Linked DNA regions of Drosophila melanogaster. The protein of the gene in region 2 purifies or fractionates together with the protein of the main gene of each other region. This does not show direct contact. Each region holds a gene or a part of one and is shown on either strand. Other genes may lie near its edges. The genes, in order: Spt6, Rrp4 and Mtr3.

The links.
Region 1: the proteins of Rrp4 (region 2) and Spt6 purify together in Drosophila melanogaster (affinity purification with western blotting; one study listed by BioGRID). This does not show direct contact.
Region 3: the proteins of Rrp4 (region 2) and Mtr3 purify together in Drosophila melanogaster (affinity purification with western blotting; 2 studies listed by BioGRID, with this or other methods). This does not show direct contact.

Annotation. Positions count from the first base shown.
Region 1 is NC_004354.4:6,266,221-6,279,599, forward strand, and holds Spt6 (Spt6), read left to right. Parts: upstream 1-1,576; 5' UTR 1,577-1,686; coding exon 1,687-1,725; intron 1,726-1,886; coding exon 1,887-1,971; intron 1,972-2,546; coding exon 2,547-2,752; intron 2,753-2,904; coding exon 2,905-3,024; intron 3,025-3,093; coding exon 3,094-3,245; intron 3,246-3,310; coding exon 3,311-8,204; 3' UTR 8,205-8,764; downstream 8,765-13,379. Other genes in the region: schlank, read right to left, coding at 187-371; CG3566 (uncharacterized protein), read right to left, coding at 8,863-8,950, 10,008-10,076, 10,150-10,238, 10,312-10,419; Ubi-p5E (Ubiquitin-5E), read right to left, coding at 10,924-12,528. UniProt on the Drosophila melanogaster protein: Histone H3-H4 chaperone that plays a role in maintenance of chromatin structure during RNA polymerase II transcription elongation.
Region 2 is NT_033778.4:23,550,216-23,559,240, forward strand, and holds Rrp4 (Rrp4), read right to left. Parts: upstream 6,003-9,025; 5' UTR 5,924-6,002; coding exon 5,477-5,923; intron 5,414-5,476; coding exon 4,964-5,413; 3' UTR 4,803-4,963; downstream 1-4,802. Other genes in the region: pita, read right to left, coding at 1-821, 4,040-4,201; Dcp-1 (death caspase-1), read left to right, coding at 1,508-1,659, 2,086-2,648, 2,709-2,965; ItgaPS5 (integrin alphaPS5 subunit), read left to right, coding at 6,541-6,710, 6,809-7,649, 7,711-7,813, 7,865-8,579, 8,639-9,001.
Region 3 is NT_037436.4:19,907,220-19,916,730, forward strand, and holds Mtr3 (Mtr3), read right to left. Parts: upstream 6,497-9,511; 5' UTR 6,411-6,496; coding exon 6,260-6,410; intron 6,202-6,259; coding exon 5,372-6,201; 3' UTR 5,186-5,371; downstream 1-5,185. Other genes in the region: Mi-2, read right to left, coding at 2,824-2,860; Prp3 (precursor RNA processing 3), read left to right, coding at 3,259-4,300, 4,355-5,109; Rpn1 (regulatory particle non-ATPase 1), read left to right, coding at 7,972-9,511.

The DNA.
Region 1 (13,379 bases), on a different chromosome or scaffold from region 2:
CGGTGGGCTTACTCAATGGTAAGGAGAGCGAGAAAGAGCGGGAGAGAGCGAGGGAAAGCCGTATGAATGGGGTTAGAGAAAGAGGCGGAATGGAATCATGTTGCCGGGAATGGCGAGAATGGAAAGGGAGTCAGTCAGTTGGTTGGGAAGAGTGCGGAGGGGGGAAAATGGACGTGGAAAACTTACCGCTCCAGCGTGTAGCGGACCAGCATGACAACAGCGGCGAATGGAATGGGCCATATGAGGTCCTTGTAGTTGGCGTGCACCACATCTGGACGCGAGCCGGGCGCAATGTCCGCCCAGGTTGTGTTCGGCGGCAGCCAAATGTGCGTACTCCAGAATACATTGCTGAACTCATTCAATATGTCCATGTTGCTGCTTCAGTTGCCGCTTCTTAATTTCTCAATTGTTTGTTTTCTTTTTCTTGGTTTTCCTTTGCTTAGCTTTCCAGTTTTTCCTTGGCGTTTGTTGTCACATATGTATATGCTTTGCTTTTTCTAAATATTCGCAATTGTATGAGCCTGTGTTATTGTGCCTTGCGAACAACAGCAACAATAACAGCAAGAACAACAATAAGCGACAACAACAGCAACAAGAACAACAACAGGAGCACCGGACACTAATGCACACTCACAGCGTAGCACAAACACACACTGGCAAAAAAACAAAAACCGCCGAATCGAATTGTTGTTGTCTTGTCTCGTTAACTTGCGCTTATGGCTTTTCTAATTCTACTTCTATTTCTATTTGGATTTCGATTTAATTCGTTTTTGGAAATGCTACCTTTGCCGTTTGTTTGGGAGCGTAAATGAAGTGAAGTTCCCTGACAATCTGTTCTCGACCAAAGCAATAGACTTTCTGAATTTCGGCTCGGTGTCGAGTCGGCCGCCGCTCGTTTCGTCCACTTAAACTTTCAGGATGAACGAAAAAAAATACTAATAGTATTTCCTCGTCGAGCAACAACAATACAGTGTGCCCAGAGACGGCGGAGCAGTAAATGTAACTGCAGCGCGACAAGTGTGCCCGTGTACGGGAAGACAAGGAAAGCCAGCAAAAATAAGGCTTTAGAAGCTACACAAAATACCAAATGCACTAATAATTTTAAAGAACTTTTAATTCACAAGTTTGCGAATTTTGTTTATTGCTTATTATTATTATTGTTCATTACGTTTACCACTAGTTTTTGAGAGAAATTATTATGCGCTACAATTAGTGTTGGTTTTTCGGTAAGAACTCATAAAAGTCAACTATGTAAAGGAAGTATGCCATGGACTATAATGGAAATTAGCAAACTTCATCGTTGAGACCAAAGGGCATATGTGTGTTCCCATATAGGGGAATTTTCCCGCTTATCAATACAAGTATGTGTGCAAAATTCTTGTCCAATTGTTGTCAGCACATGAAAACGGATAACTAACCATAGGTTATAGGAAGGATCCACTGTAGTTCTGCAATGCAAACCAGGGCTGGCAGCGAGAACACTGCTGTAAGCTAACAGCAAACTGTACTGTAAACAGTAGAAAACTGTTCGTGGTATTTAGTATTTAGCTAGTATTTTAATACCAACTTTTGTGCAATGCGATGAGAAATAAAGAAGAAGAGAAGAGGAAGAAACGCTCACAAACTCTTCGTTTCTCTGCATTAATACGCACTTTATTATTAAGTTAAGCTTTATTCCATTATATTATGGCCGAATTTCTGGACTCCGAGGCCGAGGAATCGGAGGTAGGTGTCTGCGGAACCCCAAAAACACTATTTCTAGAAGCGCGTACCGTTCGTGCGTCGTTATGTGTGCGGTGTGCGTTGCGCCTTGCGTGTGTGTACATACATATGTGCCTACATATATATTGAATTAACCAAATGGCTTTTCTTCGTTTTTCCCGCAGGAGGAGGAAGAATTGGACGTCAACGAGCGCAAGAGACTCAAGAAACTGAAGGCGGCCGTCTCCGATAGTAGCGAAGAAGAAGAAGGTGAGTTTTTCCACTGGAGCCGCTGAAGGCGCGTACAAATACATACATACATACATACGTATGTGGCGATCTCTGGCGGGTTTTTCACCCCTCTCACCATCCATCGATCGGAACAGTCCATATCCGGGATAAAGGCACCTATAACTGGCCAATGCCACACGCTTGCAACTTCTTTTGTTTACAACTTTGAGGTTAGGTCTTGTGTTTTTACCGTGCTACCGTGGCCATCAAATATCAGCATCAGCAGTAGCAATAGCAGCAGCAACAACAACAAACAGCTGCGCTCGTTCCAGTAAATAAAACAAGTGCGGCGAATTGGAAGAACGCGGCGTATTCCAAGAAATTGCAAATCAAAGCAGGGAGGGAGAATTAGTTCAATAGATGGAGCTGGAATAATCAATGGTTAGGGCTTATCTATATCGAAATCTAGGTAATTTATCAAATGTAGGTCTTTCTCAAAACCGGGTGAATTACTTAAATTTAAGCTTTAAAAACAGTTTTCAGTTGCATATGTATATCTGCGGCTACAATGAAGGTAAAAGGTAAACCGATATTCTTATTGCCCTATTCCGTAGACGACGAGGAACGGCTGCGCGAAGAGCTCAAAGATCTGATCGACGACAATCCCATCGAGGAGGACGATGGCAGTGGTTACGATTCCGATGGCGTCGGCAGCGGCAAGAAGCGCAAAAAGCACGAGGACGACGATCTGGACGATCGACTGGAGGACGACGACTACGATCTTATCGAGGAGAATCTGGGCGTCAAAGTCGAGAGACGGGTAGGTGTTCCCTTCAGGGAAGAACTATGTACTTTTTAAACTCCAATTGTGGCTCCAATTTCGAAGCTTAACTAACAAAGAATAACATAGCTGAGGGATTGGGGCTTCTATCTCCTCAAATATATTGTTTGAAATTATGTTTTCCCTTGTAGAAGCGGTTCAAGCGTCTGCGTCGCATCCACGACAACGAAAGCGATGGCGAGGAGCAGCACGTGGACGAGGGTCTGGTGCGTGAGCAGATTGCCGAGCAGTTGTTCGACGAGAACGATGAGGTATGCCACTAGTAATCCCTGACCACCAATTAATGCACAGTGTCCAACTGATTGCCCCTGATCCTACAGAGCATTGGTCATCGCAGCGAGCGCAGTCACAGGGAGGCGGACGACTACGACGACGTGGATACGGAGTCGGACGCAGATGACTTCATTGTGGACGATAATGGGCGTCCCATAGCCGAGAAGAAGAAGAAACGGCGCCCCATCTTTACAGACGCGTAAGTATACAAACTATAATAAAGTTTAGATATCAATAGATACGATTAATATAATCCAACCACAGATCACTTCAAGAGGGTCAGGACATCTTTGGCGTAGACTTCGACTATGACGACTTCTCAAAGTACGAGGAAGACGACTACGAAGATGACTCGGAAGGAGATGAGTACGATGAGGATCTGGGCGTCGGCGATGATACGCGCGTCAAGAAGAAGAAAGCGCTCAAAAAGAAGGTGGTCAAGAAGACAATCTTCGACATATACGAGCCCAGCGAGCTCAAGCGTGGTCATTTCACCGATATGGACAACGAGATTCGCAAGACAGACATCCCAGAAAGAATGCAGCTGCGAGAGGTGCCCGTAACCCCGGTGCCCGAGGGATCAGACGAGCTGGACCTCGAGGCTGAATGGATCTACAAATATGCCTTCTGCAAGCACACTGTTTCGGAACAGGAAAAGCCGGAGAGCCGCGAGAAAATGCGCAAACCACCGACAACCGTTAACAAGATTAAGCAGACGCTAGAATTTATACGCAACCAGCAGTTGGAGGTGCCCTTTATAGCCTTCTATCGCAAGGAGTATGTGAAGCCAGAGCTTAATATCGACGATCTCTGGAAGGTTTACTACTACGATGGGATCTGGTGTCAGCTAAACGAGCGAAAGCGCAAGCTAAAGGTGCTTTTCGAAAAGATGCGTCAGTTCCAGCTGGACACGCTATGCGCCGACACAGATCAACCCGTACCGGATGATGTTCGCCTCATCCTGGACAGCGATTTCGAGCGCCTCGCCGACGTACAGTCGATGGAGGAGCTAAAGGACGTGCACATGTACTTTCTGCTGAACTATTCGCATGAGCTGCCCCGCATGCAGGCGGAGCAGCGACGAAAAGCTATACAGGAGCGTCGCGAGGCCAAGGCGCGTCGCCAGGCAGCCGCCGCTGAGAACGGTGATGATGCGGCCGAGGCGATAGTTGTACCAGAGCCGGAAGACGATGACGATCCCGAGCTGATCGATTACCAACTAAAGCAGGCGTCCAACAGCAGTCCCTATGCGGTATTCCGCAAGGCGGGCATCTGCGGCTTTGCCAAACACTTTGGTCTCACGCCGGAGCAGTATGCCGAAAATCTGCGCGACAATTACCAGCGCAATGAGATCACCCAGGAAAGCATCGGTCCCACAGAGCTGGCCAAGCAATATTTGTCGCCGCGCTTCATGACCACGGATGAGGTTATCCATGCCGCAAAATACGTTGTGGCCCGACAGCTGGCACAAGAGCCTCTGCTGCGCAAGACCATGCGTGAGGTGTATTTCGACAGAGCTAGGATTAACATACGGCCCACCAAGAATGGCATGGTGCTGATCGATGAGAATTCGCCGGTGTATTCGATGAAGTACGTGGCCAAGAAGCCGGTAAGCGATCTATTTGGCGATCAATTCATAAAGCTAATGATGGCCGAGGAGGAGAAGCTGCTGGAGATAACGTTCCTCGAGGAGTTCGAGGGCAATGCGTGTGCCAACGGAACACCCGGTGACTATGTGGAAGAGTCCAAGGCCCTGTACCAGCTGGATCAGTTTGCCAAGCACGTGCAGGAGTGGAATAAGCTGCGGGCGGAATGCGTACAGCTGGCGCTGCAGAAGTGGGTCATTCCGGATCTGATCAAGGAGCTGCGCTCAACTCTGCACGAGGAGGCTCAGCAATTTGTGCTGCGTTCCTGCACGGGTAAGCTGTATAAGTGGCTAAAGGTGGCACCCTATAAACCGCAACTGCCCCCCGACTTTGGCTACGAGGAGTGGAGCACGCTGAGGGGCATACGGGTGCTGGGTCTGGCCTACGATCCCGATCACTCAGTGGCCGCTTTCTGTGCGGTGACTACCGTGGAGGGCGACATCTCCGACTACCTGCGACTGCCGAACATTCTGAAGCGCAAGAATTCTTACAACCTTGAGGAGAAGGCCCAGAAGTTGGCCGACCTTCGAAAGCTGAGTGACTTTATCAAAATGAAGAAGCCACACATTGTTGTCATCGGAGCGGAATCGCGCGATGCCCAGAACATCCAGGCAGACATTAAGGAGATTCTGCATGAACTCGAGACCTCCGAACAATTTCCGCCCATCGAGGTGGAGATAATCGACAACGAGCTGGCCAAGATCTATGCCAACTCGAAGAAGGGCGAGTCTGACTTTAAGGAGTATCCTCCTCTGCTGAAGCAGGCTGCTTCGCTGGCCCGCAAGATGCAGGATCCGCTAGTGGAATACTCACAGCTGTGTGATGCGGACGACGAGATTCTCTGCCTGCGCTACCATCCGCTACAGGAGCGTGTGCCGCGCGAACAGCTGCTGGAGCAGCTCAGCCTGCAGTTTATCAATCGAACGAGCGAGGTGGGTCTGGACATTAACCTGATGGTGCAGAACTCACGGACCATCAACCTGCTGCAGTACATCTGTGGCTTGGGTCCGCGCAAGGGTCAGGCTTTACTTAAACTTCTTAAGCAGAGCAACCAGCGGTTGGAGAACCGCACCCAGCTGGTCACCGTGTGTCATCTGGGGCCCAGGGTCTTTATCAACTGCAGCGGTTTCATTAAGATCGATACCTCATCGCTGGGCGACAGCACAGAGGCGTATGTCGAGGTGCTGGACGGGTCGCGTGTGCATCCAGAAACGTACGAGTGGGCCAGAAAGATGGCCATCGATGCCATGGAGTACGACGACGAGGAGACCAATCCGGCCGGTGCCCTTGAGGAAATTCTCGAGTCGCCAGAGCGCCTTAAGGATCTCGATCTGGACGCATTCGCTGTGGAACTGGAGCGCCAGGGATTCGGCAGCAAGAGCATAACCTTGTACGACATAAGGAACGAGTTGAGCTGCCTGTACAAGGACTACCGCACTCCGTACACAAAGCCCAGTGCGGAGGAGCTCTTCGATATGCTGACCAAGGAGACGCCCGACTCGTTTTATGTGGGCAAGTGCGTCACGGCCATGGTCACCGGTTTCACCTACCGTCGGCCGCAGGGCGATCAGCTAGACAGCGCAAATCCGGTGCGTCTAGATTCCAACGAAAGCTGGCAGTGCCCCTTCTGCCACAAGGACGACTTCCCAGAGCTGTCCGAGGTGTGGAATCACTTTGACGCGAACGCGTGCCCTGGCCAGCCATCTGGTGTGCGTGTGCGTCTGGAGAACGGCCTGCCTGGCTTTATACACATCAAGAACTTGTCCGATAGACAGGTTCGCAATCCCGAAGAACGTGTGCGCGTCTCACAGATGATTCATGTTCGCATCATTAAGATAGACATTGACCGGTTCTCAGTCGAATGCTCTTCGAGGACCGCTGATCTTAAGGATGTGAACAATGAGTGGCGGCCGCGTCGCGACAACTACTATGATTATGTGACTGAGGAGCAGGACAATCGGAAAGTGAGCGATGCCAAGGCCAGGGCTCTGAAGCGCAAAATTTACGCGCGTCGCGTAATCGCCCATCCCAGCTTCTTCAACAAGTCGTACGCGGAGGTGGTGGCCATGCTAGCGGAGGCCGATCAGGGCGAGGTGGCCCTGCGTCCGAGCAGCAAGTCCAAGGACCATCTGACAGCCACCTGGAAGGTGGCCGACGACATCTTCCAGCACATCGATGTGCGCGAGGAGGGTAAAGAGAACGATTTCAGCCTGGGCAGAAGTCTGTGGATCGGCACCGAGGAGTTCGAGGATCTGGACGAGATCATCGCCCGCCACATCATGCCGATGGCCTTGGCTGCCCGCGAACTGATACAGTACAAGTACTACAAGCCAAACATGGTGACCGGCGATGAAAATGAACGGGATGTCATGGAAAAGTTGCTGCGCGAGGAGAAGGCAAATGATCCGAAGAAGATACACTACTTTTTTACGGCCTCACGCGCCATGCCGGGCAAGTTCCTGCTGTCCTATCTGCCCAAGACGAAGGTGCGTCACGAGTATGTGACGGTCATGCCGGAGGGCTATCGTTTCCGTGGCCAGATTTTCGATACGGTTAACAGTCTGCTGCGTTGGTTTAAGGAACACTGGCTGGATCCAACGGCCACGCCGGCCAGCGCCTCGGCGTCCAACTTAACGCCACTGCACTTGATGCGTCCGCCGCCGACGATCTCGTCGTCATCCCAGACCTCCTTGGGCCCCCAGGCGCCCTACAGCGTCACTGGCAGCGTGACTGGTGGAACGCCGCGCAGTGGCATCAGCAGTGCCGTCGGCGGTGGCGGTTCCAGCGCCTACTCCATTACGCAATCCATCACTGGCTACGGCACGTCGGGCAGTTCTGCTCCAGGGGCTGGAGTATCTTCCTCCCACTATGGCAGCTCATCGACGCCGTCGTTTGGCGCCATCAATACGCCATACACGCCCAGTGGACAGACTCCGTTCATGACGCCCTACACGCCGCATGCCTCACAGACGCCTCGCTATGGTCACAATGTGCCCAGTCCCAGCTCGCAATCATCGAGCAGTCAGAGGCATCACTACGGCAGCAGTTCCGGAACGGGCAGCACGCCCAGGTATCACGATATGGGAGGAGGAGGCGGTGGCGGCGTTGGTGGTGGTGGTGGTTCCAATGCCTACAGCATGCAGCCGCATCACCAGCAACGTGCCAAAGAGAACCTCGACTGGCAGCTGGCCAACGATGCCTGGGCAAGACGCAGACCGCAGCAGCATCAGTCACATCAGTCGTATCACGCCCAGCAGCAGCATCATCACTCGCAGCAGCAACCCCATATGGGCATGAGCATGAACATGGGCATTACAATGTCACTGGGACGTGGCACCGGTGGCGGCGGAGGAGGTGGCTATGGATCGACGCCTGTCAATGATTACAGCACCGGAGGCGGTCATAATCGGGGTATGTCCTCGAAGGCGTCTGTGCGCAGTACGCCGCGCACCAACGCCTCGCCGCACTCCATGAATCTGGGCGATGCCACGCCCCTCTACGACGAGAACTAGGGGCGGCGAAGTGAATGGAAACCGAAAACCAACACAAGCTGCAAAGGATGCACTATGCACACACCATATGCTACTATATACATACACTATACTACAAAAACGAGAACAGAACCGAACAGAACAGAAAAGTCTACAATTATATATAATTCATGCACGCGCAGCTGGCGAAGATCCAGTTGCACTAATCTTAGTACTTTGGAGTGCGATTCCGCATTGATCCTCAACGATATTTAGGTTTAAGTCAAGTCCATAACTGATCCGCAGTTCACACCACATATATAAATATATATTATCTATGTATAATTGAAAATTGCGGAACGCCTGCCGTTGGAGTGGGTGCATCACCTGGCGGTGGGGGAGTAGGAGTAGAACGGCTGGGCAGGAGCTGAGACGCCGGTGGGCCGGGGAGCAATCAGGTTTGTGACGACGGAAGAATGAAAAATAAATTTCAATTTTTTCTGACCAGAAATATACCGCCAGCTCTTCTTACTAATGGGAATTCAAGATTGGTTTTATCCGCAGCTTTTATGAATAAAACGCCCGAGTTGTGTAATTTAAGCAATTTGTACAATTTATTTCGTGTCAAATGTGTGAGGAAATTGATGTTCCCAAATTGGGGGAATATATCTGGAATCTCGTAATGCAGTCCGGCCGCAGACTAGTTTCTGGCCACACCGCGTCGGATCACATAGACCAGCGAGATGCCGATGAAGGCGGCGCCCAGGGCCAGTGCCACATGACGGCAGCTGTTGCATGGAATAGAGAATATGAAAGGCGGTTTAAATCAATGGGAGTATCATGGTCAGGATAAGGCACTCCGACCGACTGGGTGTCACAACAACAAAACTGGGTGCACTTTGGTTAGCTAGCTAGGATTACACGGTTTTGCAGGCATTTCTAGAGGGGTTGATTTAACTTAGGATGCAGCATTGCTTGGGGGTGGCGGCGGCATCAGTAGGCGTGGCACTTTACCAAGGCACAGAACCAAGAATCAAAATAAAAACGCAAGTCAAGGTGGGGTGCCATTCACAAAACCAAAGAGTGACCAATTACAGCGTGCAAATTGTTGGTATTCTAGATTATCACATTTATATATGTACATAATTCCAGTTGCTTGACGTGTGCTTTGGGTTAATCATGATGGGTAATATATGTACACAGGTCAGTGGTTAGAACTTACAAGTCCAACTAGCTTTTGTAGAACCTTATTTTCGTGCTTGAGAAGGAATTAAATCTTGAATGGAGCAAATATCATACATGCAAGTTGAGATTCATTAGATTCATTAAATATTAAGTATTGTGGCTTTGTTAGCGGTTGGTAAAGAAAAAGTTGATACTCTATATGGGAATATAAATAATTGATATAATTTAAGGAACACTTCTGTATCATCATTATCTTCTTCAGGGTATCCAATCGTATCAAAGGGTATCAAAGTAGTACACCAAAAAGTGTACGAAATAGAGACTTTCAGGACACGTGAAGCGTGAAACTTTGGGGGCTTCGAGGCAATTAATGGATTACATAAGAGTTGGCTAATTGTACTTATTGATTGAAACGCAGGCCATGCTCATGCGAAACCGGTTGTGGTCGGAATAGGAGCTTCATGCATTAAGGAAAGTGGAGCGTACGAAATGATGATGATGAAATGCCTTATCAGGAATACTGGTGTTCTAGCGAGATAAGGAGATCAATCCGTGTGGGAGCGGAGAAGGGAAATCCGCAGGGCTTTCTTTATTTACATGATGATATGGCATTTTGGCTTGGTTGGGTCTTTGCATGCACTTGCTGGACAGGATTCTCACCTAATTGGGCTTTTCTTCTTGATGTCCGCAGCAGCCAGGTCACCAATGTAGTATTTCTTCAACATCTCTCTGAAAAGGCAAGTGGGGAAGAAATGTGAATCAGGTGATCCAGGCGCACTGGCTATAAGATGGACTCTCTAACCTCGCCTCCGAGCTGTGACCCACGTCATTGAAGGCCTTGGTGGCATCGCGACCGGCCTCATCCACCAGGGATTCCTCGCCACCGGGATGCTGGAGATAAGGGCATCGAATTAGATGGATTCGCCACCCCCCCCTAAAACCAACAATCTGCATCGCCACTTGCCTCGAGACGGAACTTGGTCACATCGTAGACCTTGTTGTCGATGACCACCCACAGATCCGTGGCTTTGTTGTGTTCGTTGACGGTGGCCAAACGGATTTCCTTGCTCATCTTGCCTGACTGCGCCTGCCTGCTCTTCTCCGCAAATTTAACTAAATAACGCAAGCTAACAGGTTTTCGGACTATTCCAGTGTGGCCGGCTCCACTTTTCGTTGGAGTCAGCTGGTCACACAAAATACCCCAAATATACCACATAAGGTACCTAAGCAATAATTCCAATGTACCTGTGGTACAATTCCAGTAAAATACAATAGAGTATTACAAATTTAAATATTCAAATTAAATCCACCACTCCAACGCCATCCAATGTTTATTGCAACTTTCTATCAAGAATCCCCCACAAAATTAAAAACCCTGGGAAACACAGATAAAAACTACATAGAGTATTACATTGAACACACAAATTGAAAATTTTATTCTTCGAATACCAATAATTATTGTGATTGATTATTTTGTGCCTTTGAATAAACCAATTTACTAAAACTTAGTATGAATTCTTGAGTTATGCCCTGTGGCACAACTAACTAACTTCAATTTTTATAAGGGTGAAAAAATCTAGATGGCGCCACCACGCAGACGCAGGACCAAGTGAAGGGTCGACTCCTTCTGGATGTTGTAGTCGGACAGAGTGCGTCCGTCCTCGAGCTGCTTTCCGGCGAAAATCAAACGCTGCTGATCTGGGGGGATTCCCTCCTTGTCCTGGATCTTGGCCTTAACGTTCTCAATGGTATCGGATGGCTCGACCTCCAAGGTGATGGTCTTGCCAGTGAGGGTCTTAACGAAGATCTGCATGCCACCACGCAGACGCAAGACCAAGTGAAGGGTCGACTCCTTCTGGATGTTGTAGTCGGACAGAGTGCGTCCGTCCTCCAGCTGCTTTCCGGCGAAAATCAAACGCTGCTGATCTGGGGGGATTCCCTCCTTGTCCTGGATCTTGGCCTTAACGTTCTCAATGGTATCGGATGGCTCGACCTCCAAAGTGATGGTCTTGCCAGTGAGGGTCTTAACGAAGATCTGCATGCCACCACGCAGACGCAGGACCAAGTGAAGAGTCGACTCCTTCTGGATGTTGTAGTCGGACAGAGTACGTCCGTCCTCCAGCTGCTTTCCGGCGAAAATCAAACGCTGCTGATCTGGGGGGATTCCCTCCTTGTCCTGGATCTTGGCCTTAACGTTCTCAATGGTATCGGATGGCTCGACCTCCAAGGTGATGGTCTTGCCAGTGAGGGTCTTAACGAAGATCTGCATGCCACCACGCAGACGCAAGACCAAGTGAAGGGTCGACTCCTTCTGGATGTTGTAGTCGGACAAAGTGCGTCCGTCCTCCAGCTGCTTTCCGGCGAAAATCAAACGCTGCTGATCTGGGGGGATTCCCTCCTTGTCCTGGATCTTGGCCTTAACGTTCTCAATGGTATCGGATGGCTCGACCTCCAAGGTGATGGTCTTGCCAGTGAGGGTCTTAACGAAGATCTGCATGCCACCACGCAGACGCAAGACCAAGTGAAGGGTCGACTCCTTCTGGATGTTGTAGTCGGACAGAGTGCGTCCGTCCTCCAGCTGCTTTCCGGCGAAAATCAAACGCTGCTGATCTGGGGGGATTCCCTCCTTGTCCTGGATCTTGGCCTTAACGTTCTCAATGGTATCGGATGGCTCGACCTCCAAGGTGATGGTCTTGCCAGTGAGGGTCTTAACAAAGATCTGCATGCCACCACGCAGACGCAGGACCAAGTGAAGGGTCGACTCCTTCTGGATGTTGTAGTCGGACAGAGTGCGTCCGTCCTCCAGCTGCTTTCCGGCGAAGATCAAACGCTGCTGATCTGGGGGGATTCCCTCCTTGTCCTGGATCTTTGCCTTAACGTTCTCAATGGTATCGGATGGCTCGACCTCCAAAGTGATGGTCTTGCCAGTGAGGGTCTTCACAAAGATCTGCATGCCACCACGCAGACGCAGGACCAAGTGAAGGGTCGACTCCTTCTGGATGTTGTAGTCGGACAGAGTGCGTCCGTCCTCCAGCTGCTTTCCGGCGAAGATCAAACGCTGCTGATCTGGGGGGATTCCCTCCTTGTCCTGGATCTTGGCCTTAACGTTCTCAATGGTATCGGATGGCTCAACCTCCAAAGTGATGGTCTTGCCAGTGAGGGTCTTAACGAAAATTTGCATATTGCCTGAGTGGAGAAATGAAAAAGGGAAAAAGTTGGCTTGAGTAATGGAAAGTGGAAGGAAATTGATTTTCTGCGTAGTGACCCAATTCCCGTGACCCAGAAAAGTATTTTAGCATACACATACAGAAAACATTATTGGTTTTTTCGTTAATGTTTTCACAGCTTGCATTATTTCGCCATGAAATGGCAAATTTAGTTTTGGTGACTAATCTCTAACTTCGTTAAAAAAAATCCCCTGGAACTGGGCATACACACACACACACACACACACACACACACACACACACATAGATAGAAGCATGGAAAGCACCGTTTTCTGCTTGCTGCATCGCCATTTTGAATGCAACTAAGAAAAACTATTAAGCAATTGCCAAACTGAACTCACCTTATTTTCTTGTTTCGCACACAAAAGTTAATTTATTTCTTTACTGTTGGTCTGCACTTTTTGAAATATTCAAAAACTTGCTTTTATTTTACTTGCTCGGACGTCCGCTCTCTACGACTTTTTCACAGTTTATGATTCGTTTCGCAGCCCCACGCTGGTATTTATAGGCAGCTGACTGGAAAGTCGTCGCCTGCTCTCTCGCTCACTCTCGGGCGGTAGGTTACTTTGTTTTCGCTCTCTGCCACTTAAAGTGACCGTTTCTTTTGTCTAGTCTATTGGAAATGAGATTTCGCATTGACAAGAGTATTTAACACATGAAGGCCAATCAATTGGCTAGCTGCAATACGCAAAATTGGGCATTGAAAACAAAATGCGTAGTGCATATGTGCACTGCTTTTATCTCGCTCGCTCTCGTGAGCGAGAGAGCGGAGTTATCGATAAGTTGCCTGACCCTCTTTCCAACA
Region 2 (9,025 bases):
TCGTACTTGGAGAAGAAGCTCTTCTCGCACAGGAGACACTGGAAGCTGCGCGAGCGAGTGTGATTCAGCCGATGGATCTCGAGCAGCTGCTGCAGCGGAAAGGAGCGTTCGCAATCGGGACAGGGGAACACATCGGTGGCCACCTTCTCGGCGTTCTTGGTCGGATCATCTTGATCGTCCAATGGCAGATCCGAGTCCAGAACCTCTGTCACTATGGCCACATTGCCACTATCATCTCGCTTGACTTTGGGTGTGGCCAGGCGCGGTTCCACCGGAGCGGCGGGTCCCTTGTTCAAGATCCTAATCGAGGACTTGTTCAGCACCTTCGGCTTGACGGGTGATGCCTTCTGGGGGATATCGGGGAACTCCTTCTCTAGCTCACTGGCCATATCCTCCAGCATGCTCTGCACATCGTCCATGGACAGCTCCTGGTTGTTATCCACCTTCAGCTCATAGGCGTGCGAACGACGTGGCACTGGAGAGGAACCGGCTACCGTCCTGGGGGTCACCATGGCGCTCTCCAGCACCTGGACGTCCTCGATGATCACCTGACTACTGGATTTGGCCATTGTGTTCAGCAGCTTTTTGGGCGTTTCGCTTGGCTCGGCTGTCTTTGCTGGCACGACCAACAACTTCTTGGAAGCCACCATCGTCATGGGCGCACGGGGCTTCTCCAGCGGCGATGGCCAGTTACCCGTGAGCGGATACTGGCGCAGGAGGGTCTCCGCCCGCTTGCACATCTGCTTGAAGCGGTAGCAGTGCTCGAAGAGGAGGCGGCACTCCAGACAGATGTGCCCCGGCATTCCGTCGCCGGCGTAGACCTGTTTTTAATGTTAGATTAGATAAATGTGTGAGTGACTAGGAAGCTACATTTATTCGGGGAAGTCCGTGCTTAAGCCAAATAATAAGGTAATATTCGTGGAACACCCCTATATGTTTTTCGCTACATAATAAATTAAACGCCATAAATGTCTCTTTCCCTTAAAATGAACAATATAATGTTAGAGTTTAAATTTAAACAAAGGCGCCGAGGACCAGAACACCCTCTACAAATTAATCGATGGCCACCAATCGATGATTAGTGCTATCGACGAGCGGCCATCGCCGCTTGGCGGCAAGTGCATACACACGACTACATGCAATCGCAGTTTGTTTTCGCCGCTCAGAGCACGCTTAACCTCCGTTAATTGATTGATTAAACACGTCCGACTGTGAGCCATAAAAGGACATTCGCTCGATCGAAAGCCGACAAAAGCTGGCTGAGAAGCGCAAAACAGCTGCGCTGCGCAAAGTTTGGCCAACGCAGAGCAATAGAAAACAGAAGCAGTGTCAGAATAAAACAAGAATCAGACCAAAAAGGGCGCAACAACTGCGGAGAGAGAAAAGGAAGGAAAGAGCAGCGCGTGAGCGAGGGAGGAGCAGGAGGGAGCGAACAAAAGGCAAGAGGAAACACAAGGAGAAACGCAAACAATCAAAACAAGAACTTAAGCAAGAAAAGGGGCGCAAGATGACCGACGAGTGCGTAACCAGAAACTACGGAGTAGGCATTCGCAGCCCAAATGGATCGGAAAATCGGGGCAGCTTTATAATGGCTGATAATACCGATGCCAAGGGCTGTACGCCGGAGTCTCTTGTTGTTGGTGGTGCAACTGCAGCGAGGTGAGTCCATGTGCCTCGCTCTCTCCCTCTCCCATCTCTCTCTTTATGTTTCTGTGTTTTGTTATCAATGCAAGTACTGGCATAACTGCTATATCCTAGTTTCAAATGCAGCATATAAAGCTCTTTTTTTTTTATTTATTCCATTTTCATTCCACAATCTATTATTTTTATATTATTTATACTGTCTATTGCCAACATTTAAAATCAATGTGTCAATCTGTCTTTATAATGTTGTTAAAATGGCTGAAGTCACAAAGTTTGAAAGCACTTGACTTTAATTCTATTGTTCTATTTAGTCTTATTCACAAATATATTTGAAAATAATTACATAAATAAATACCCAATCATCGATTATTTCGCCGATTACCTTATCTTATCATGCTGCTTCCCAAATGGCTATTATAATTCTGATTTCTTTTTCCCCAGCCCCTTGCCGGCCAACAAGTTTGTGGCTCGAATGCCCGTGGAACGATATGCAAGCGAATACAACATGAGTCACAAGCACCGCGGAGTTGCGCTGATCTTCAACCACGAATTCTTCGACATACCCTCGCTGAAGAGCCGCACCGGAACAAATGTCGATGCCCAAGAGCTGAAAAAGGCCTTTGAAAACCTGGGATTCGCGGTGTCCGTGCACAAGGACTGCAAGTTGAGGGACATCCTGAAGCACGTGGGGAAGGCCGCCGAGTTGGACCACACGGACAACGACTGCCTTGCGGTGGCCATACTCTCGCACGGGGAGCACGGCTACCTGTACGCCAAGGATACGCAGTACAAGCTGGACAACATCTGGCACTACTTCACTGCCACCTTCTGCCCCTCGCTGGCGGGCAAGCCGAAGCTGTTCTTCATCCAAGCCTGCCAGGGCGATCGCTTGGACGGAGGCATCACTCTGGAGAAGGGCGTTACCGAGACGGACGGGGAGTCCTCGACGAGCTACAAGATACCCATACACGCCGACTTTCTCTTCTCCTACTCGACCATTCCGGGTAAGGAATATGATTAGGTAACTATTTTAGTGAATTTCACTAGCAATCTCGTCCTGTTAGGCTACTTCTCCTGGCGCAACATCAACAATGGCTCCTGGTACATGCAATCGCTGATCCGCGAGCTGAACGCCAATGGCAAAAAGTACGACCTGCTCACCCTGCTTACATTCGTTAACCAGCGCGTAGCCCTAGACTTTGAGTCGAACGTGCCCGCCACACCGATGATGGATCGCCAGAAGCAAATACCGTGCCTCACCTCCATGCTGACGCGCATACTGCGCTTCGGCGACAAGCCGAACGGCAATAAGGCTGGCTAGGAAGAGATCTCCCTTCGAAGAAGAACTTTCAACAGAGGTTGTACAACCATCGCCCGCAATCATTCACGTTGGATTCCAATTCACTTCAAGTTTAGTTTTAGCTGACGCGTGCGATTATCCCGATGGATATTGAAGCACCCGACTCCCTTTCATTCATTCCCCTGCCTTTCCCATGCCCATTTCGGCCTTATCATTGACGAAATTCGTTACCCATTTACCCACTAGATGACTTCCGTATGCATAAGCGAGACCTTGCCAATAGAAAACCCACAAATTTGAGATAAGATAATACAATGAAGATTTATACATACATACATACTTTTATGTACACGCAAACATTTATATTTGATATGAATAAAAATGAATTAAAAACATAGCAAGGTATCTCCCCAATTGAACGTAGATGGGTAATTTCGATCTAAGCAACTTTGTTTGAAGACAGGAGCTGTCTGGGCCAGATTGAGTACGTTGATATGGGAAATAAAAGATAACAATGAAGACTTGGTTGGCTGAATCAGTGAAATTGTACGAAACTTTAGTGGAATTCAAATTAGCATTATTAAGAGTGATTAATTAAGATTTTTCTCACTCTAATTTTATTAATTTCCTAAATTTTATATTTATTTCCTAATTTTATAATTTAGGAAATTAATAAAATTAACCAAATGATGATTTTTGCGTAAATATAAGTATCGAAGGAACTATTAATGCATTTAAATATGATCTCGATTTGAATTTAGCGCCAAAAACAACTGACAGCTGTCAGGGCGATCAGCTGTTGACGCACTAGTGTGCGTGTGGCGCAGTACAGTTGCCCCAAATCGCAGAAATTTTCATTTTTCTTTGCACAAGAGGAAAAAGGGAAAGCCCAATGATTAGCCAACTAATTGGGCTGTAACCTGGTCGCACTTTTCAAGGACATTCGGCTGGGAAAGGGAAGCGGGGCAGTTTGGAGCGGGGAAACTTAGCCAAGACGCCTCGCAGTCGATGCGGAAACCCGCGATGCGGCTTCTTAGCCAAGTTATGCGTGGCGCTGGTTAGTGCAAGCCAGAACCCATGGATGGAGCCGCTTACCTCGATCGCCGTGATGGCCATAATCTGCAGCGGCAGATTGGCGGTTGTTTTCACCCGCGGATTCTCCTCGAAAATCGAGGCCAGCTTCTGCTCGGTCAGACAGAAGCGGCAGACCCTCTTCTCGGTCAGCATGGCCTCGCGCACCTCCAGTTTCGCGGCCATCGGCAATTGGCGGTAATTCGTTCCGGGCGGCGGTAGAAACGCGGAATTTCACTTGCAAAGTGCGTACAGATTACAAATGAGAGGAAAACAATCGCTTGGCGTCGCTTAGAGATGTGCACTATGCAGATATCGATGTTTCTGTGTGAATTTTGCTAGCGAAACTTTTTGTTTTTATTTTACACAATCAAGTATTTGTCACAAATACAACGTCACACTAATATGGGATGACATAAAAATAAAAAATTTATGCCGAGTCCCTTTATCATCCAGGCAGAATCACTTTTCATTTGCACAAACCGCCAGGGCGTTGCCGGATCGCTAATGTGTGCTGCCACTCGGTGCGCGTCCTGGTAAAATATCGATATTTTAGCTGCTTTTTAACTAAAAGTAATTTTAAGTCGAAACTTTTAACTAAAACTAAAGTGCTATGAAAATGTATGTATTTTTTAAACGCCAATAAAACCTAACTTATATGCAATAAATGTTTTCTTTTTTAAAGAGTTTGTGTATTTTAGAAAACCTGACTTTTTATTAGGAAACCAACATTTATCATACAAATTCAGGAAATATCAAATGAACATTTTTATTAAACAGAAAGCTTGCGATAGTTTTCAGTGTATTTAAGATTTTAGCCCACTGATGCAATTTTGAAATCCACCAATTTCGAACCCATTGAAATGTTAATTTTTCATTTGACGGTAGAAAATACATTAACCTCTATTTAAGCTACTTGTGTATAAAATATATGTATATGCATATATACTACTCGTCCGCGTCCCTCAGACGAGCCTGCGTCTGCTGGCCGATGTCGTAGATGGCGTTCTGCTGGAGCAGCTCGTGGGCCTCGTAGCGCAGGGACTCCTCGTAGGCGTACTGGATGCTGGTGTCGTAAATCATCAGCTTGCACTTGGCCAGCGCGAGGATGGAGTTCCTCAGCCGGGCGATCACCTCCCGATCCGCGCGCGGCACATGCTCGTTCAGGTTCTGAGCGAATCCTCCCTCGCCGCCTTCCTCCTCCTGGCCCTTGGTCGGCGATATCCAGATGTAGCCATTGTTGCCCAGGATCACGGAGGCGCCGCAGGGCAGGTTGTGGAAGTGCATCTTGCGGCGCTTGACGAGAGCGGGGAACACCTTGACCAGGATGCCCTGCGATAGTTTTCCATACTTCAAACTGCGCGTGTACAGCGAAAGGGAGCCCTCCTCAAAGATGTTCTGGTGGCCAGAGAAGAAAGATTATATAGTTACTCCAGTACCAGCAAGTTAGGAAGTACCCACCTGGACCTCGGCAGAGATGAGATCGCCCTCGTCCAAGTATCGTCGCATCATCTGCTCGTCCTCCGCCGATCTCCGTCGTAGTTCTCCGCCTGGCAGATTCACCGAGGAGAGCAGTAGGATGGAGTCGAGCCGGGAATTGGTGTCCACTCGCCAGCGCTTCTGTTGCACCTCGCTGACGCGGGCCACCACCACGTCCCCGATCTCGCCCACATAGCGACTCTTAAGCGGGCGCACCGAGATCAGCTTGTTGACCTTCTGGATCACCCCGGCCACCGAGGACTTGATGTTCTCGTCCTCGACGAAGGTTCCGTGGCCGCGCATGAATCCCGCCTCCGGCATCAGCACTTCCCCCGGCGTATACACCCTCGGCTGTTCCTCCGTCTGCGCGGCCAGGTCGCGCCAGTCCACCCGGTCCAGGGCCAGATCTATCGCCGCGTTGGTGGACATCTCAGTTTGGCCAAAGCGAGGTAAACAAAAATTTAATTTTGAGCGAGGCAAAAAGAGCAACAGCTGGCAAAACACGCGCCACGCGGAACCGGTTCGGGTTCGGGGTTCGTTGCTGGTTCCGGTTCAAGTTCCATTTCTTCGCCGCAACTACAGTGCCTATCGGTTGCGGCGAATTGCAATTTTAAAAACCAATTTTGTTGAAATTCGAAAGTAAATGTAACGAAGACTTGCAAATTCTATTGCCTAACAAAAAATACATACAATCGAAATAAAATAAAAGTAAAGGGGATTAAAAAAAACTGTTAAAATCACGTTTTTAGTTTCCTTAGTTTTATGAAATAACATTTATTGTTAATGTGTATAATATATATGTCGAAAGCATTTTTGAGTTTGTCCTTAGATAAGCAGCATACAAATTATAATTTTAAAGAACAGCTTTGAAATAATTGCTCTGGCATTTCAATGATAAGTTATCTGTCTTCTTTAAGTTAGCTAAGCTCCATTAGACTTCTGAAACATTCATCATCTTGTTTCAGTTGGATTGCCTCAGAGCTCGCAGGCACATTCCCATCCGGAATAATATTTTCTAGAATAAGACTAAAAACTTGAAGTAGAAAATGCATCGGCTTCTGTTCCTAATTTTTTTGGCTCTCAAATACCAGAGCAATGCAATGAACTTTTCGCCATTGCCGAATCGAGTGATAGATGCTCCAAAGCACCTAAAAACCCGAATGATCCAAGTGCGAAGCTCCTACTTTGGATACTCGCTCGTCATCCGTCCAACCAGGTGAGATCTTATCCTAGGGAAGCTATCGATCCCAGACTGTGATTGCACTTGAAATTCCATGAAGTTCCTTCTAACAAAAAACTTCGTGATCAATGCAGCATCTTCGTGGGAGCTCCGCGTGCTCAGTCCACCTTGGAATCGCAAGGCAGCATTAATGAGACTGGAGCTGTCTACAGATGCCCCCTGGCCAGTGGATCCTGCTCGCATTACGTCCTAAACGACAAGCTAAATAAGCAATTCCAGTGGCTGGGCGGCTCTATGGATGGCGGCACCAAGGATACGGACAAGCTGCTCGTGTGCGCACCTCGGTTTTTCGTGCCGAAGAACAAGAACTATGGCCAAATGAGAGGAATTTGCTACTGGGTTCGGGACACAGTGGCAGACACTCCTCCGCTGAGCGACGTGAGGACTATCAGTCTAATCCCTTCGCAAGCAGAAGAACATTTCATGCTGGAGCTGGGGCTCAGTGCCCATGTGACGGACGACAACTCGGGGTTCCTGATCGGCGCCCCGGGAGTCCGTAGCTGGAAGGGATCGGTGTTAGTGCACCGCGGAGAAGATTTGGCTGCCCAGGGAAGCTATGCAGTCAAGATGCTCGATTCGTGGGATTGGGTAAAGAATCACTTCACATACGTCGGTTACGCCCTGAGCTCCGGATACTTTAGCAGCAATAACCGGACCAGTCTGCTCTACGTGACCACCGCGCCGAGCTCTGTCCTGAATACCGGCAAGGCATACATTTTCGACGTTGTGGGAGAGATAGTCCGTAAGCTGCATGTGTTTCACGGCGAGCAGTTGGGCGAGTACTTCGGTTACTCCGTGGTGGCGGAAGATCTCAATGGCGATGGACTAACGGATGTGGTCGTATCCGCGCCACTCAACGCTCTAGGGGATTCCTATGACGTGGGTGCCATATACGTGTTCATCAACAAGGGATTGGTGAGTTAACCGAATTCCCTATAATCGCCATTAGTCAGACTGCTTCTATTTCCCGCTTCAGTTTAAATTCGAGAAAAAGATAATTCGCTTGCCATTGAGCAGTGGTGCCCGTTTCGGAAGTTCGCTTTCTAAAGTGGGCGATATCAACCACGACGGATACAACGGTGAGTAATCCTCTGGGTATTCGATATAGTATCTCATTAGTTCACATGTAGACTTGGCCGTTGGAGCGCCCTTCGCGGGAAACGGAGCGGTATTCATTTTCCTGGGCAGCGAGCACGGATTGCGGGATGAGCCGAGCCAGCGACTGGATGCTCCTTCGCGGGAGCCGGGTCCATACGGAGCCCACATGTTTGGACAAGGCCTCTCCCGCGGATCGGACATAGATGGCAACGGATTCAATGACCTGGCGATTGGAGCGCCCGGTGCCGAGGCAGTGTATCTGTATCGCGCATATCCGGTGGTCAAAATCCATGCGACTGTGCGCTCGGAATCGCGCGCGATCAGGCCGGAGCAGGAAACGATTACGGTGACCGCCTGCTACCGACTGGAAACTACTTCCAAGGCGAGGCAGATGCAGCAGCAGGAGCTGACTTTCCGGATGACCATAGATGAGCTCCTGCAGCGGGTATCGTTTGCGCCCATGCGCACCAATGAGGTGTCATTCCAGGCGCAGGCCGGATTGAGCGGGAGTTGCCGGAACTTTTCGGTGGGGGTGCACTACACCGGTGGCATATTCACGCCCATTGATCTCGAGCTGCACTACGAACTGGCCAAGAAGATTCCCCATTCTCACGAAGCATTCTGCGAATCCTGCGCCGTTGTCGATCCCCTGGAGCCCAAGTATGCCACGGGGACGCTCAGCTTTATGACGGGATGTGCCGCCCATGTGTGTGTATCTGACTTGCAGCTGAGCAGCAAGGATGTGAAGTAAGATGAAATCTCGATCATTCGTGTGTGATTCCATCTAATCTAATCGTGTTTCTCAGTTCTAGTTTCATCTTTGGCTCCTTGGAAGTCCTCAGTTTCAGTTACGAGATTACCAACAGCGGAGAGCCCGCCTACGTGGCCCAGTTCAATGTGACCAGCTCCGCCCGTCTGCCCTTCGCCAAGGTTCCTGGGAACTGCAGGGTGCGGCACGAGGTCATGCTGTGCGATCTGAACGGCGGACGAGCGCTGGCCAGAGGTGACAGCGAATCCCTAACCATCATCTTCGATGTCACCCAGCTCAGTGGTCAATCACTTACCATCGAGGCAGCCGTATCCTCTGCGGGAATGGACCAGAATCCGAAGGATAACACGATGAGCACTACGATTAGCCTAAGGGAATACGCCGAGATCGACGCCAGTGGGTAGGATTGAATGGAAAATCATTA
Region 3 (9,511 bases), on a different chromosome or scaffold from region 2:
TCAAGAAGAACAACAAAAACCATTATCGAAGCGACCTAGTGTTGTTCTACTTGAGAGAGCGTTTTTTGAATAAAAATGAACGTATTTGAAAGCTAAAATAATATTTACTTTTCCTATTTATGTTTCATAGTTTTGTGGACTTTAAGCGCAAGTAAACTTTTTCGAAATGCCAGCACACACATACCATTTACCAATTATACAAGCATATATATTTATAAAGATATGTATATGTATATACATGGCGGATATAAAAAAGCACCACTTGTTGTTGACTTGATTGAATGCAGTGCGTGCGAGCGGGATGGCAAGTTGTGTTTCGCCAAAGCAAGGTAAGATCGTCACCAATACACCAGTAACTGCAGCTCACATACACACACAGTATACTTTCACTTCTTGTATTGAATTTTTGATTTTATTTGTGCTGGCGCCATGTTGTTGTTGTTAGACATGGGGTTTTAAGCAGATTTATGCAGTCGGCAACAGCGAAGCTTTTGATAAAAAAATGACAAGAATGCTCAGATTAACAACGAAAAAATCAAATTATTTGGATCTTTTGAAGATACAAAGTTGCGGTAATGAATGTCATTATTATTAATACATTTGATCGATATGTGCTTTAATTGCATGAAACATTGAAACGGTGTCAAATGCCATTGCGTATTTCTTGCTGTGTACGTAGGAAAAATGCATACGTCATTGCCGAAACCTTCTTATCCCTCTCACACCCTTTTATTGTTGCATTACTGCATAAATAGTGGCACTCATACATGTGCATCGTTTTAGCCTTTTGTAATTTATGCGATGTCGCATTACTCTTGATTGTTTACTTGTGGTAGAGTAATCGGAAATCGGATGGCAATGTTAAAGTAAACAATTTTAAAGACAGCATAGCGCAGCAAATCATAAAAATTATCACAGAACCGGCAAATGGTGAAATTAGGAAGAAGAAAAATGGGGAAGAACCAACGTTGGCTGACGTCACAAACGTGAGGGAAAAGACAGAGCGAATTAAGCATCCTCCTATCGATGTATCGAAGGATAACGGCAGCGAATCCAATTAGAATGAGCACCGAAGGACGGGGAGGGGAACGTGTTAAAATTAGACATTGAATTCTACTCCCACGCTATTTCTCTAGGATAACTTCCTCACGCACGCACACCGTATACATATACATACACACGCCCACAGTGCAACAGCGTCGAACGGAGAAGCAGAAGAGAGGCGAATGAGGGCAGGGACAGAAGAGAGAAGAGGCCTGTAGACAGAAGAGGAACAGCTGCGAACGAATTAACATAAATTGTATGCAAAATTGGGGTGGCTATGGATACTGCTGCTTTTTGTTACACAGCGGCGGCATATTGTTTATCAGTTTTCCTATGAACTACTACTACATTCCAGCAATTTCCTCGCGAGACGGGCACCTTCCCATCCCATCCCTTGGCATCGTCTCTTTTCCACACTCTACTTTTCTCCTTCTTCATCTTACTTGTGTGTTGGCATATTTTGATTAACTCGTTAAAAAGACTATACTTTAGTTGTTTTGCAGGCACTTCGGTAGGATTGCATTGGTAGCTATATTTTTGTTGTTGTTTTTAACTAAATTTAATTTAAACGCGTCGGGTTTCTGTGAGTTTTTTTTTATCATATACGTTGGAGCGACAGAGACGGGGCGACGGCGACGTTTGGCTGGAGCGCGCGTGCATAACACGCACACACACAGAGACGCAAGTACGCGAGAGAGTGGAGAAATCAATCAAGAGAGCACGTCGGCGAAGGGGGAGTGGAAAAAATCACATATGTATGTGCGTCAGTGGAAGTGCGACAAGATTTTCCACAATATTCCACGCATCTTTGTTTCGTTTCTTTAGATATATGCACATATTGCTTCGTTTTCTTTTTGCATTGCTTTCTTACACAATTTATAATATATATATGCATATTTTGTGGTAATTTCAGGTTTTTATTTTTTGCACACACTTTTCATCATTCTTTTTTCGCTTTTCCTTCAGTTGGATATATTACGCACTGGATTTGTGGCTTTACACTGGCAATCGGTAGGCGGTGGCGAGTAATGCACGTATTCCCCTTAATTAACAGTTTTCTCTACAATTAATAATGTAATCTCTTTAACAAAAACTCAGAAATCACGTCATGGCTGCCACGTCCAAGCAACAATGAATGTAAATGGTGGCAGATGAGGCCGTCTGGGCATTCTCGACTAGCTCCAAAAGGGGCACACTATTTTTCTGGTGATACCATTGCACAGCCGATGATAACACTGCATATACGGTAACACCACAATAAGTGTGAACTAAAATGAATTTTCCGTATATTACAATTGACACTTGACAATTCACAGGTAAAGTAAACATCTTAATTGCTAAAGAACTTAAGATAAAACTTAATTTTAAAGGATTTACAGAGTATTCCACTCAAAACTTTCGACCAAAACAACCATGTAAAACATATGTTTTGATGAGTGAGCAGGACGTCTATATATTGCCTGCATTCGCGAATGGAGGGAACACAAAAATGCAATAAAAAATATGTGTGGAATGGAGGAGGCGCAAAAGACCCCAAAAAAACGCGCCACACATGTACAAATTTCACCAATTGCTGTAATACAAATAGTTTATAACGAGGTACAGCAATGACAATGACCAATTAGGATAATAGGCAACAATAAACAATGGGAGGGGGACGCAGCACGCTGCGCGGCTTTGCGGCTCTTGAACATGACCACGGTTCTTAGCCTGACCGAGCGACGGTCGGACCGAGTTTTTTTCACGCCGACATTTGGCCGACTGAAACAATGCACTTACCCTGGAAATTATCGTCATTCTCTTCCTCCGATGCCATTGTAGCACTCGAATGCAACTTTTACACTGTTTGAGCACACGAAATTGTCTTAATTTCCACAACAAATAATTAAGCACACACAGACACGACGAGAAAAAAATAGTCAATTGTAAGCGGCTTCAACAAATATGGCGGAGCGGAGAGCGACAAAAAGTGAGAGAACTAGGGTTGCACCCCGATAAAAGAAAGCGAAACGGTCACACTGGCGACATGACAACCCTGACTTTTATGTTTTTTTAACGACCCTGTCCTAACGTGTTTCGGAGAATTTTTCACCAAAGACCAAAAACCTTGTGTATTGTTTTTGAATTGCAAATCGCTGATTTAAGCTCAAGGAATGTGCCAAGCAGTTGGTAAATAACATTTACTTTTTAGTCCGACCCATTTAATTGCGAATTATGTCGTCCATTATCACGCGCAAGGATGGCGACGACCAGAAATTGTCCAAAAAGCGCGCTGCCGCCTCAGATTCCAAAAGTGGTGGTGGAAGCGCCCTTGAAGCGCCCAAGAAATCCCGCTTCGATGTCCCGGAAAAGAATGGCGGCGGTGGTGAGAAGAAAGAAGAGGTCGCCGTGCCCGCCTCGCTGAGTTCCACGCAGATCAAGCTGATGATGGCCCATGCCCAGCGGGAGATCGAGGAACGCAAGCGGGCCCTGAGTAATCTAAGAGACAAGGATCCGCTGCTGGCGTCAGTTCCATCGATCGGAATGCCAGTTGCCTTAGCCACTCAAGCGCTGGCGAAGAAGCCCACGCCCGAGGACTCGGAGAAGGCCAGGAAGATTGCCGAGTTGCAGGCACAGATCAGGGCCAAGCTTACTGGCAATTTGGCTAGTTTGATTCAGCCCACTGCGGTAGCGGCCGCCGCTGCAGCTGCTGCTCAAGCGCAGGAGCGACCCAAACCCCTGATTCTGGACGATGAAGGACGCACTGTGGACAAGAGCGGACGTACCATTAATATTCCCACGGTGACACCTACATTGAAAGCCAACATACGCGCCAAGAAACGGGAGGTGTTCCAACGCCAAACGGGTTTGGGTGAACGGAGTGAATCGGGCACTTCGGCCCAGGAAGAAGCTATTAAGTACTTTGACGACCGCATAGCCCTGAAGCCCACTGTTAGAACCAAGAGGACGTTGAGATTCCACGAGCCCGGAAAGTTCCAGCAGCTGGCCGAACGAATGCGCATGAAAAGCCAGCTGGAGCGACTACAGAATGAGATTTCGCAAATAGCCCGGAAAACGGGCATCTCGTCGGCCACCAAACTGGCATTGATTGCCCCCAAGCAGGACATGCCGGACGATGTGCCTGCCATGGAGTGGTGGGACTCAGTTATACTGACCCAGGATCTGGAGACGGTAGACGACGCAAGCGGTAAGATAAGCATACGCCAAACAGCCATAACCAACCTTATAGAGCATCCCACACAAATGAAGCCGCCAAGTAAGTTGAAAGCTAGAACATGTCCCACAAGCAACTAACCACCTACTCCTTCAGATGAGCCCTTGAAACCAGTGTATCTGCCGGTTTTCCTCACAAAGAAAGAGCGCAAAAAGCTTCGTCGCCAGAACCGTCGCGAGGCCTGGAAGGAGGAGCAGGAGAAGATCCGACTGGGTTTGGTGGCCCCACCAGAGCCGAAACTGCGCATATCCAACCTGATGCGTGTGCTTGGCTCGGAGGCCGTACAAGATCCGACCAAAATGGAGCAGCATGTGCGCGACCAGATGGCCAAGCGGCAGAAGGCGCACGAAGATGCCAACAATGCGCGCAAGCTGACCAGCGAGCAGAAGAGCGAAAAGAAGCAGCGCAAGCTGAGGGAAGACACCAGCTGCGGTGTACATGTCAGCGTCTATCGCATACGAGATCTGCAGGACAACCAGAGCAAGAAATTCAAGGTGGAGACCAATGCCAAGCAGCTGCAGATGACCGGCAGCGTGGTGTTGTTCCGGGATTGCTGTGTGGTTGTCGTGGAGGGTGGGCCCAAGCAGCAGAAAAAGTATCGCAGGCTCATGCTAACGCGCATTAAGTGGGAGGAGGACAACGCCAAGGGCAATGACGGCCAGGACGTGCCGAACTCATGCGTACTCGTCTGGGAGGGGACTAGTCAGCGACGGCACTTTGGCGAGATCAAGTTTAAGATCTTTCCAATGGAAAAAATGGCCCGTGAGTTTTTTCAGAAGCACCAGGTCGAACACTACTGGGATCTGGCCTACTCCGGAGCCGTGCTTGAGGCCTCCACGGATCAGCAGTAGATAAAAGGCATTTTAAGAATTGCTAGATACACTACAGTTCTACAAATTCACTTTCGGAAAGATACAAGTCTGAATTAAAGTTTTGAAGCGCGCTACGCATTTGATGTTATTATTTTCGAAGCTATTCGGAACTTTGGAAGTGCAAAAATAACGAATAAAAGTTTTATCTGGACTCTAAATATTTGTAGTAATCATTTTTTAAGTGGTGGTTGTTGTTCAAATAGATCTGGGATTTATATTAGTATGATTTATTCTCAACCAACTACTGCCTCTTTACATAGGGATCCTCCCGGATGTTCGATTGTATAAACTCCTCTGGTCCTTGCTTCTTTAGCTTCTCGATTATTTCCTCCAAACGCTGATCTTCTAGAGCGGTCTCGGCTTTCTCGCGTAGATCTAGTTCGTGCTGCTCCTTCACCCGCTTCGTGAGCACGCCTTTGACTAGTTCTCTCAGGGACTTGTTAATGGCCAGGGTGTAATCCAGCAGCTTTACATAGGTGGCTGGACTGAGATATCCGCACTGCTGGCACTGGGCGATCTGTTCAAAGGTATCCATGCTGGCGGTAATGATCAGGCCGTGCTCCTGGGCGGATGATGGGCTGGTTGTGCTATCGGTGCTGCTGTTGCGATGCTTCCAGAGCAGCTCCTCAACCTTGGCACTGGGATTCAGGAAGACGTGATCCCGATAGATACAAGCTGTGGAGGCCGTAATTAAGTCGTAAGTGGAAATGCCGCACTCCACCAAAGCGACTCCGCAGCAATTGATGGCAGTGCTGAGCAGGCAGCCGTCATCGTCGAGAATAAGCACCCGTATGTCCAGCTGAAAGTTAAGGAACTCCGTGCGGCACACCACCGGCTCCATGGCCTTGGTCAGCATGCTGCTCAGGTGGCGTTCCCGTTCCGGCACCGAATCTAGATCCCCTGTGCTGAAGGCCGCAAAATTCACATAGCAATTCAGAACACCCATGTTCATTCTGCGTGCGCTGGCGCGGATTAGCTCCTTTGGCGGGGCCACAATGGCCAGAACCTTGGTGTTACCATACTCCATGTAGGCGGAACCTCTCACTGTGGTCAACACACCGGCGCGGATGACTGTAAGTCACAAGAGGTATGAGAAATTGAAATACAAATAAGGATGTGCACTTCTAACAGGTGTTTCTGGGTGCCAGTTGTGTTGGCTCCCTCGACGGTTTGTCTAGACTCTCAAAGAAATCCTCGCTTTCCTGCGGAGTTGTGTACGGCTCTTCCTCAATGGAGGCTCCATCGAGTAGGGTGTTCTTCGTCTGGTTCACCGCTAGCATATTTATATTATATCTTTTGATTGAATATAAAAATAAACAAACTGAGTTCACATGTGGTCTAAAGACTTTTAAGTTTTCGATTAAAATACAAATCTGGTATTTTTGTATATTTCGATATTTTATACCGATTCTGTATCGTTTCGTGGGTTATCGTATTTGAATGAAAACCTTCAAAGAACCTTAATAATAAGAACCTAAAATAAGTCTTCTTATTAGTGCTAATTGTGCTAATTATTTATAAAGTCTAAATAATGTTTTGATTCCTTCTGATAATTGATAACTTAGTAGTATTTTCTTTGTTACTAAGAGAAAAAAGAGCTTAAATATAATCGCAGAAAAATCGATTGCCGAAGTGTAAAACAACGCTTAAGATAACGCTAATCCACTCGGTACAGACTGAAGAGATTTCTGGGAATATGGCCGACAAGAAGCACTGCCATGGATGGCCTTGCATCAGGCCTGGAATAGTGTGTCGCGGAATAGAATACTGATGGTAGGATATATGCCCGCGTTATAGATTTTACTTTTGAATTTCAGTGAAGAGTTGCGAGGCTAGCTTTAGTATTATCTTAAAAGAAAATTCAAGACAAGTAAAAGCCATGCGGAATAGCCATTATTTCGGAGTTACCCATTCATAGTTTGAAACCCATATCTCTAATATTATATACACCTGACGACTGATTCCTTTTTTTGCAGGACCAAAAGTTCTGCCATTGCTGCTGATATGAAAGTCAAGAGAGAAAAAAATTAGAACCACAATACCTCGGATCAAGAGGATTTCTCAAATTCACAGCTTTTGGGGTCCGATGACGGAGACAGTTTTGTAGGAGATGCCGAGAATTCATCTAATGAATCAGTGTCAGTGAAATAATGTTTTTCCTAAACTCACGAAGATATTACGCAGGATGAATGTTGGAACTAGAGAGATCCATTAACATCCTAACCAACCATCAACCAATTTCTGAAGAAATCAGATTAGATCAGTTAATTTCAAGAGACCCATTTTTGCATATTGGGACTCGCTACTTCACCAAATACTTCCGCAGCAAAAGCAGACAAGAGTTTTTTGGCCAGAAAATAACGCATTGTGTCATAAGTAGCCCAACATGTTTGAAAATATAAACGATCTCCGTTGATATCAAGGAATTACAGCTAATACAACTGCAAAGGCCGGAAGTTAAATGGATATTTAAAATATCTGCATATCACAACATTTTTAAATATATACACATACACAAATATAGTTAGCTTTTTCTTTCACTTTCTAAACCTTTCAATTTTGATTGGCAAGGCCCCTAAAAATCGATAAGGTGAAAGTCACTGCCATCACTATTTGAACGTTACCAGCTCGTGGTAACGGTAGCTGATTATTCTGGTATTTTAAACAGATTAGCGCGGCATAGCCTGGCGTTCGCCGCGCGGTCACACTGCAAAAAGCGCTGTGTAATTCTGCTGTTTCAACAACGAAAAAGAAGGAACAAAGCCGCATAAACCGCATTACAATCGAAGAAAACGTAGTGCCAATTAAATCCCTTAAGTCCGACAAGCTAGGAAAGAAATCATGACGGGCGAGACCAAGCTGGAGAAGAAGCCGCTGAAGCCGGCGGCATCCGAAGGCGATGCCAAGGATCCGAAGGCCAAGAAGGATGAAAAGAAGGACGGCAAGGACAAGGAGCAGCAGCCGGAGCTCTCCGACGAGGACCAGCAGCTGCAGGAGGAGCTGGAGCTGCTGGTGCAGCACTTGCAGGAGCCGGATGCCAAGCTCTACCAGCCGACGCTGGAGAGTATGGCCAAATTGATCAGAGCCTCCACGACGTCGATGACCTCGGTGCCCAAGCCTTTGAAGTTCATGCGCCCGCACTACGAAACCATGAAGACGGTGTACAAGCACATGCCCAATGAGCAGGCTCGCCAGTTGTGCGCCGACATCATCTCAGTGCTCTCGATGACCATGGGCAGCGGCAAGGATTGCCTGGCCTACCGATTCCTCTGCGATCGCAAGCAGCGCATCGGGGACTGGGGCCATGAGTATGTGCGTCATTTGTCTGGCGAAATTTCGGCCCACTATCACGATACAACGGGAGACTTTCGTGTACAGCTCATCGAACTGGTCAAGCAGATCATCCCGTACAATATGGAGCACAATGCCGAGGCTGATGCCTGCGATCTGCTGATCGAAATCGATCACTTGCACCTGCTGAGCGACTTTGTGGACGAGTCGGCCTATCCCCGCGTCTGTCTCTATCTGCAGTCCTGCTATCCGTATGTTCCCGACCCGGACAACACCATTATCCTGGAAACCGCGCTCCAGCTGTCGCGCAAGTTCAACCAGTACACACAGGCCATGCGACTGGCGTTGATGCTCAACGATATGGACAAGATCGGTGAGATCTTCAAGGAGCCCAAGGAGCCGGCCATGCAGAAGCAGCTGGCCTTTATGCTGGCCCGCCAACAGATTTGCCTGGAGCTGGATGAATTGGTGCCGGACTACGATGATCTCATGGAGATCATGTCGAATGCTAATCTGAACAAGCATTTCCTCAATCTGGCTCGCGAACTGGACATCATGGAGCCCAAAACGCCTGAGGACATTTACAAGTCGCATTTGGACAACTCGCGCTCCCGCTTTGCATCCATCCAGGTAGACTCTGCCAAGCAAAATCTGGCCGCTAGCTTTGTAAATGGTTTTGTTAACGCCGGTTTCGGTGTGGACAAGTTGCTGTCGGAAGACGGAAACAAATGGTTGTACAAGAACAAGGAGCACGGCATGCTCTCGGCCACCGCATCGCTGGGTTTGATACTTCTGTGGGATGTGGATGGTGGTCTGACCATGATCGATAAGTACTTGTACTCCACCGATGACAACATCAAGTCCGGCGCTTTGCTGGCTTGCGGAATCGTCAACTGCGGCATCCGTAACGAAGTCGATCCGGCTCATGCTCTGCTCTCCGATTATATCGACAACCAGAACTCCTGCATGCGCGTTGGCGCCATCCTCGGTCTGGGCATCGCCTACGCTGGCTCCAATCGCTCCATTGTGATCGACACCCTGAAGACGGTCTTCTCGTTTGGCAGCAACAACAAGAGTTCGGCCAGCGTGG